Linked DNA regions of Macaca mulatta. The protein of the gene in region 1 purifies or fractionates together with the protein of each later gene. This does not show direct contact. Links are inferred from orthologs where the notes say so. Each region holds a gene or a part of one and is shown in the gene's direction. Other genes may lie near its edges. The genes, in order: PHF6 and LYAR.

Evidence for each region.
Region 2: the proteins of PHF6 (region 1) and LYAR purify together in Homo sapiens (affinity purification with mass spectrometry; 3 studies listed by BioGRID and IntAct, with this or other methods). This does not show direct contact. The link is inferred for Macaca mulatta from reciprocal best matches to the Homo sapiens genes PHF6 and LYAR.

What each region holds. Positions count from the first base shown.
Region 1 is NC_133426.1:140,852,980-140,857,414, forward strand, and holds the start of PHF6 (PHD finger protein 6), read left to right. Parts: upstream 1-1,378; 5' UTR 1,379-1,528; intron 1,529-4,435.
Region 2 is NC_133410.1:8,717,679-8,722,052, forward strand, and holds the start of LYAR (cell growth-regulating nucleolar protein), read left to right. Parts: upstream 1-1,467; 5' UTR 1,468-1,569; intron 1,570-4,374. UniProt on the Homo sapiens protein: Plays a role in the maintenance of the appropriate processing of 47S/45S pre-rRNA to 32S/30S pre-rRNAs and their subsequent processing to produce 18S and 28S rRNAs. Also acts at the level of transcription regulation.

The sequences.
Region 1 (4,435 bases):
GTACACCATAAATGTTTGGAATACACATTCTGGATCTTCTTATGTAAATCTTTAGCCACTCCCTTTCACAGCATAGGGCCTTGGGTAAAAGGGCTAAGGGTTCCTTGCAGCTAAATGGCTGATTTGTCCACCCTTATTAGGTACCTATTTGAAGAGTTCAACGTCACACCACCATGGTCACTGTTTGCTTGGGAAATTACACTTTAAAGTTGACATTGCAGAGAAAAGTAAAAAGATTGACGAAACAGTATAGAAACAGCACTGGATCAAAACAGTGGAAATCCACCCCCACTACAGGAAAAATGGCTCTTGAAGAGCATCTTTAAAATTTCACTAGTTTGTTAAGGCTTTTGTTGTTGTTGTTGTTAAAGTCTGTGAAGCCCATAGCAAATAACAAAAGCTAACACTTACATAGGGCATACTATATGCCTAGGCATTATTCTGTGTGATTTACATGTATTATCTCATTTCTCACAACTACCTTTTGAGACAAATACCATTATGATCTCCATTTTGGACAGGATGAAACTGAGGGACTGAGAGGTAATACAAAGCAATCAAGGTCATACAGCTAGAAGTGGCGGAGCTGGAGTTCAAACCCAAGCATGGCTCCAATACACCAAAGAGGAAAGCACTCGTCTAGGTGTCTGGTTTACATGTGTAGATTATAAAGAAAATCACCTTACCATTTCTGATTATGATAATCCCAGCATTTATGGAGAGTCTATTATATGCCAGGGATGCTAATAACACGCTTTAGTTGCATTATTTCATTTCTTCCTTACCACAAACCCGTGAGGCACTATTTTTATCCCCATTTTAAAGACCAAAAAAAAAAAAAAAAGGTATAAAGGTTAAAACGATTCGCCCAAGGATTGAAATGCAGGCAGGCTGACTCGACTACGAGCTTCTCAGTCTTTCCTGGCAATAAAATGAACGGAGGACCTGAAAGAGATGCCACGAGAGTACAATGAAATAATGGATGTGAAAAGGCCTCGGTGAACAAGTGCAAGGGATAAGGCCTGTCTACGTGAATCACTGTTGTGAACTGGTTACCCAGGGCCCCTGTCCAACGGTTTCCAGTCCCAACCCTGCCCCTTCTCCGCCCAACCCACAGCGATATCTTTGAATCTCTTTATCTCCTCGGATCCTGCCCCCAAACACTTGGCGGAGCAGCGGAGCGGAGAATAGAAGGTCCGCGCGCGAACAGGAGGCGGGGCCTGCCGCCTCGAGCCGTACAGGGGGTGGTTTCTGCACATGCGCTGTGTCTCTGCGGCTTCAGCGGCCCCCTCTCTGCGGCCAATCAGGGCCCGCGGCGCGCTCGGGACGTATCAACGCTCTGTGGGTCGTGTGCGTGCGAGGGGGGCGACGTAAGGGCGCTCCGCGAGCCCGTCTCTCCTCGAATGAAAGGAAACAACCTCCGGCGACAGAGCCCCGCTCTCAGGCACTGCCGGAGAACCGAGACCGACTTCTTTCTCTTTACCCTCATTGGCGCTTCTCTCCTGCCGTCCGCCTCTGGGCCCTGCCGGTGAGTCCCCACGGAACCCTGGGGCCCCCCATTCTCTGCCCGGCGGGAGAAGACAAGGAGGATGGCGGTGGCCAGGCCGCCGCCCCTGCCCGTTGTTAAAGGGGACTCTTGGTGGTCTCGCTTTATTGTCAGGGACCCCAGAAGCGCCGCTCATTGTAGACGCTTGGCGGAGAGGCTGCTGAGAAAGTGCCTTGGAGGTACAGAAGGAGAGGTTAGGCTTACGCCTAGACTTCGGGGGAGGGGGCGCAACATTTGAGGAGGGAAAAAACTGGGAATTTTTAGTTTTTGCCGTTGCTTAGAACATATTTGGGAAGGAGGGAGACTCCCAGTTTGGGAAGAGTAAGAGGAAGATTGTTAGGATGGCAAAAGAGCTAGCCTTACGGAATGAGGAAAAACTCCAGGGTGGGGGGAATTAGGGGTGAAACTGGGGTATAAGGGGAAGCTTACAACGAAGACTGTGAGAGGGCTAACTCTTGGGGGAGGGGGCATAAAGAAAGTGGTAGGATGATATTTTCCTGGATTCGGGAGGATTGGAAAAGGACGTTTAGGGGACCCTGACTTTACGACGGAAAGGAACCTGCTGAAGTGTTTTAGAGGAAGATAGTTTTGTGACTTTAGCGCTTGATTAGAGGGAGATCTTGGAGTCTAGTGTGTATTGGGGGAATAAATAACGGAGAGGATCCGGTACTTTATGTGTACTGTCTTTCATTATATGGATGAACACCACGATATTCTTTTCCAATTTCTGTTCGTTTTGATATTCTGCGTGGAAGTTGGAAAATCTTTTGTTTTTAGAAAACCTTTTATTTTCATCGCCTTACTACGTAATGTCAGGTCTTATTTATACTGTTCAAATTATTTCTCTACCCTTGGGTTTGAAACAACTGGAAAATTCCTTTAGTTTCCTTTTGAATAACCGCAAAAAGCAGTGCGAAGCATGTAATAATATCGTGCAACCAAATTCAGGTGCCCTTCCGGTATATCTTATTCGTTTATTTCTGTCCACTGTAACTTTCCTGTTAGAAATACTGCTTCTTTGGGGAATCACGTTTGTTATCTATTTTGATTTGTATATTTCAACTTGCTGTCGCGTGGAATGTTTTAATCTTCCGGAACTGCAGTTTTTGTTGTTTTGTTTGTTTTTCTGTGAAAATGCTTTTTCAGATACCAGGCATTGAACGAGCTCTGGAGTTGGTTCTTGAATGCTCTCTCTGATGTTTCAGGTTGTTTCTACCTTGGTGCTTCACAGCATCTTGGAAAATCAGAAATGCATTGATTGCTTAAGCTTAACTAATCTAGCTTTTATTTTTTTTCCAGGCATTTAAATTATGTATTACACGCTGTTATTGTTGCCTCTCTATTTCTGCTTTGTAGTGTTTTCCATAATGCGATGTTTCTTTTAAAGAAAAGGCTTCATTGTTGCGTGAAAGCATCAAACTTTGATCTCTGCATGGCCTGAAAAACCTTTTAGACTAAAATTAAAATGCCATATAGCTGTGGATCATTATGAACCCCTTAGTATTGGTCCTTGGAATGCCCTTATTCTACTTAAGTAGAGACCACAAATGTGACAACATTAGATAAAAATCTGTACTTTTATGATAAAGACATTTTTTGCTAGGAGTCATTGTTTCCATGATGTTCTCCACTTCATGTTTTACAAGGAGACTAAAAAAATTACCAAGATATGCACAGATGTATTATTTGAATTTTAGTGGAAAAATCCATTTAGTAATTGCACATTGGGGAAAGTTTTTAATTGGTTTGGTGCACTTTTTTTGTGGCTCTTGTTACTTTACAAATTAAATTTAAACTGATTACAGAAAAAAATACACTAGAATATTTTTGAATGCAAAATAAAGTGTACCTTTTTTCTCTTTTAGATTTTGGGGTCTTTGATATCTAGAAAAGCAGGTTCTCAAAATTAGAATGAGAAATTAGCCTGTTTATAAATTGGAAGAGGCAGAATTCAATATAGATAGAATTTTGGGGATGCCATTTCGGAATTAATTTTAAGAATACGAAGTGATTTTTTCCATTCTAGAAATTTTCTTTATCCTAAGCCAGTTTTATAGCCAGTGCTAGGATTGTTTGGAAATTACACATTAAAGATGTCTGTACGGGATTTGATTTATACTGTGCCATCCTTTCAGCTGGCCAGGATGACCGGGAGTAATGCTGAATACATTATTATGGTGATTTCAGAGTGCCTACTATTCATTGCACAGTAGTAAAGAAACTAATTTAGAACTCAAATATAATAGCAAATTCTGATGCTGTTTATGGATTTTGGTGTTTTGCATAGTTGATTCTAAAAATTTGGGCAGCTATATTCTTGATAAAGCAACCGAACACATACTTGCCTGAGCAAATGCAAACACACTTCCCTTTTGTTTCTTTTGTTTCTCTGTTATGTCCTTTTTTTTTTTCTTTAATCCTAAAAGTATTTGCTGCCTGTTTTCAATCAGTTTCACGGTTTATAGCCAGTGCTATGAATACAGTACTATGGTAAAGTTTCCGTTGCCATTTGGAAGACTGAGATATTTAAAATTATAGATAGCATTAAGAGTTTGTTAAACCTATCAAAGCAGAGACTGTCAGGGCCTTTGAAGTTGTGTTTAAAAGAAAATTCTAGACATAAATGGATGAGAAGACATGTTTTCTTTGTAGCTTCAGGTTAGATTTTGATTATCTGAATTTTATATTGAAAAGCACTGAATAGTTTGTAGATATTACCTTCCTAGCATACAACTGCTACTGTTCTTGTTGGTGAACTAATGCTTCTCGGAAAGCTGCAATGTAGTGTTAGAAAATTTTTTTTAACATAGTGTTATGAAACTGTTCAAATGTATAGACAAATGGAAAGAATTTAGCAAATTAATTTTAAGACAAAAGTTTGAGATTTTT
Region 2 (4,374 bases), on another chromosome or scaffold:
ATGTGCCTTGAACACAAAAAACATCTTGAGCACTCTTGGCTATTCTGTCACTTCTGTTGGAAAATATTTCCCTCCTTGTCCATTCTCATGAATTCCTTTTGTTATGGGTAAACTGCTTCCCCCAGCACCCCAGAATGTGATTGTATTTGGAGATCAGGCTTGTAAGAAGGTAATAAAATTAAAATGAGGCCATTAAGGTGGGCCCTAATACAACCTGACTGATGTTCTTATAAAAAGACGAAATTTGAAAACACAGAGGAAAGACCATATGAGGACACGGCAAAAGTAGCCACGTGCAAGCCAAGGAGAAATGTCTCAGAAGAAACCAAACCTGAGGACACCTTGATCTTGGATTTCTAACCTCCAGAACTGTGAGAAAATAATAAATTCCTGTGTTTAAGTCACCCAGTATTTTGTTTGCAGTCCTAGCAAACGAATACACCTTCTATTCCAGGCCCAACACTGCTCACTTTCAGAGTGAAACCTTCCTCATCACCCACATACACACACCTTGGGAGTGAAGGTTTCTCACAATACTCTGTGGATCCTCCATTCAACTTTCATTCATTCATTTAAGCAACAAACACCTAGTGACCACCACGGTATGCCAGACCCTGTTTTAAGGGCGGAGCAATAGTTAACGTTTATTGAGCACTTACTAAGTGGTAGCCACTAGTCTAAGCGATTTACATGCACCACCAACTCATGAAATATGACAAGGTTCCAGCGACGCAGGTGCCGCTATGATACCCGCTTTACAGATGCGGGGCTGAGGCACAGAGAGGCCACACCGTAATCAGACTGAGCTAGGCTCTGGGCTCTGCCGTCTTAAGCGCTACTCTCAACTACAGCGTGGACGGAAGGAAACAGGAGCCGACAGATGGGCAGCGCGGAGCGGTGGCGGGCCGGGCTGGCTTCCAGCGGGCAAAGCCTGGAGATGAGAGGACGCGGGTGGGGTTTCCAGGCCGAGGGAGCTGCACCAGGGAGAAGGCCCGGCTCCCAGGCCCGGAACCTGGCCTTCTGGGTCTCAGTTCGCGTCCCCTGTGATGCCGGGTACAGAGCAGAAGCTCGCTGACTCTCGCAGGAGCCGCCAACTCCCCGGGTATCCTCGAGTGCCCCTGAGATGCGGAAGGAACAGCGGGTCCATGCCCTTCTGGGCCACCTCAGGCCGCGCGGCCTCGCTTTCCTTCCGGGCCATTCCCACCAGCGCCAGCCCTGCATGCCTTCGCAAGGCTGGCCACCTTACCCTCGGAGGCCGCTCTCTGCCCCGCCGCCTACTCTTCACCTGCAGCAGCTGCCTTCAGAGGCGCTCGCAGGGACCCGCCGGCCGCGGAACCATCCCGACAACGCCCCCTTGGCTTGCCAGAACCGCCCTCCTGCTTCCGATGGCGTCACTTCCGCTGGGGGGGGGAGTTGTGTGGCCGCGGTGCGCAGGCGCGCTGGGTGGCTCAGCAGTGAATTCTGCACCGCGAATCCAAAGAGGCAGGTAGCTGCGGCGCTGGGCCGGCGGCGGCGAGTCCACGTGCTCCCCGCGGCCGGTTGAAACCGTTGGCGGGCGCTGACTGAGAGGTGAGGGGCGGTGGCCCAGAGGTCCGACCTAGAAGGCTGGGGCTCAGAGAGTGAGTAGGGGAGGGACACCGTCAGCCCCTCTGGGTTACGCATGGAGGAAGGATTTCCATTCAGATCTCACTCCTGCTCTGGGGAAGTGGCAGGAGTCCTGGACTTAGGGTGACCAACTCGTTTTAGTTTTAAAACTTAAAGTCCCGCGTCCTGGGAACCCCCTCAGGCCTGGCCAAACCAGGACGGTTGGTCACCGCCCGACTGGGCTTCAGGCTTGCTGCATGTTGGGGACAGGGCTCTTCTCTAGCTTTGGCCGCATCCACTCCCTGAGGAGGAGGTCTTAGGATGTAGCGGTCCAGAGCACGTACTTAGGACCAGAATAACTACTGCGTGTGAATCTGGGTTGCCACTACCTGGTGTAAGTTTTTTAACCTCTTTGCGCCTCAGTTTCCTCATCTGTCATAACATATAGAACCTAACTCGGAGGACTGTGATGAGGATTGCATGCGTAGAAATGCGTTGACCTCCTATGAGAGGGCTTGGGTGCTCCATAAATGTTAGGATTCTCTGCAGCACCTGCCTCTGAGGAGAGGGGGGTGGGAATGAGGTGGGGTGTGTATTTGCAACCCTGATTTCTAGCAGAGGAGGGCCACTTGGGACTTCTTCACACTGTGCCCCAGGCTCCCAGGGCCTAGCATAGTGCCTGACACATGGCAGTTTCCCGAGTGAAGGGATGGTGTTTGAAACAGTGCTGGTGATGTAGTGTGTGGGGTGGGAGGTGGAGAGACATGGCCTCTGTGCCTCAGTTTGCTCATCTGTTTAGTGGAGATAGGTGCACCTACTTCCCAGGGCTTTTGCAAGGAACAAGGGAGAGATTCTCTCCTTGTGAATGTTACCCATTGTAACCCTTATCAGCCCCACACACAAAGGTACAGGCAGGATGGTGGACAGAGTATGTTTGTCTGTCCTTCTCTTGCACCACATCCATGGTTGCTCAGAATGCTACCTGTGGAAGGGGCTTGAGTCTTGTCAAGTTGGCCTGACTTCTTGTTTCACAGACGAGAGAACCTGAAGTTTAAAGAGGCAGTGGCATGCTCAGGGTCACAGTGTTCAGTGAGGGATGTCCTGGGGTTGCCAGCCAGGCCCCTCAGGTGGGCTGTTTCAGTGGTAGTGGTGGTAATAATGTGTAGGTCAGTGTCTGTATGTGCATGCAAGAATATTTTAAGAATAGTCAGGGCCAAGCGCGGTGGCCCATGCCTGTAATCCCAGCACTTTGGGAGGCCGAGGAGGGTGGATCACCTGAGGTCAGGAGTTCACGACCAGCCTGGTCAACATGGTGAAACCCCATCTCTACTAAAAATACAAAAATTAGCCGGGCGTGGTGGCACGTGCCTGTAATCCCAGCTACTGGGGAGGCTGAGGCCGGAGAATTGCTTGAACCTGGGAGGCAGAGCTTGCAGTGAGCCAAGATGGCGCCACTGTACTCCAGCCTGGGCAACAGAGCGAGACTCCATCTCAAAAAAAAGAAAAAAAGAAAAAAAAATAACAAGTAACAAAAAAATATAGAGGGAGGAAGGTTAAAAAAAATCATTCCAATCTCAGAACCAAACCTAAGGGCATGTTTTCAGGGAACTTGGTAGAGTAGGCACCCATGGGGTGAGGAGCCAGAGAAGGTTAGAGTGAATTTATGAAGATAAATGGGTGGGTTGATGGTCATATTTAAAGGAGCATGGGTTTAGGAGGGGGCTGGGTGTAATAGCATTGATGTGCAAATTAGTAGGTCACAGAAAAACCTTTCTACAGTTAGGCAGGGATGAAGCTTTCATATCTGATGTCTTATTTAACTTTCCACCCAACGCTTTGAGTTAGGTATTAGATCCATTTTACAGATAAACAGATTCTGGGAAGTTAAGGAACCTTGAAGTCATTTAGTTTTTAATGACTTTTTTGGCATTAGCAGATGTAGGCTCCAGCTCAGATCCTCTACCCCTGAGCCAGGGCTCTGTCCAACAAAACCTGGCAACCATCTTGTTAAGAGACGACTAACAAGTTCCCAGCCCCTTACTGACCACTGGCTGCTGCCAGTCAACTAGCTTAGCTGTCCAGCACCTGACAGCCTCTCCTGTGACATGGGTGGTCTCCTTGCCCACTGCACACAGGCTTTATAATTAAGACTTAGGGTTCTAATATTTTTACATGGAAAGCCATCTCGTAGAGACTTTAATTTTTTTTCCTCTTTGGATGAGGACCTCAACGTCCTAGGTACTGAGTAACCACCAAGCAAATGGCTAGGACATGGCAGGTCAAGATGGAGGCAGGGTGGGAGCCTCGACTTGTTGCCTGGTCTTTGAGGCTACCTCTGCCACTTACTGTGACTTCGGGCAGTTCACTTACCCTCCTGAGCCTTGGGTTTTCTCTCCAGATGGAGGTAGTATGATCAAAGCAGTCTTAGTTGTGTTGGGTGCAGTCGTGTTCATAAATGGGACACGGCTTCGTAGAGAGCTAAGGATCATGTGTTCTATGGTGCAGACCCCATCGTCTTTTTCATGTGTATGGCATGTGATGAGAGCTCAGTAGACTGACCATACAGACAGACGAAGACGCAGCCAGAAGCACACGCAGAGGACGTGCGTGAGGGCCCAGGTGTATCTGGGTGGATAGTATGGCGTCAGCGTTCAGGAAATGTCTGCCGAATTGAGTTAAAGTGACTGGGCAAGAACGGAAGTATGCTCTCAACCAGTCCAAGAACACTGCCTTCTGCTTGCCTTTCTCTTTTAACATGCCCATATGGCCAGAAGGAAAGCATGTAGAATC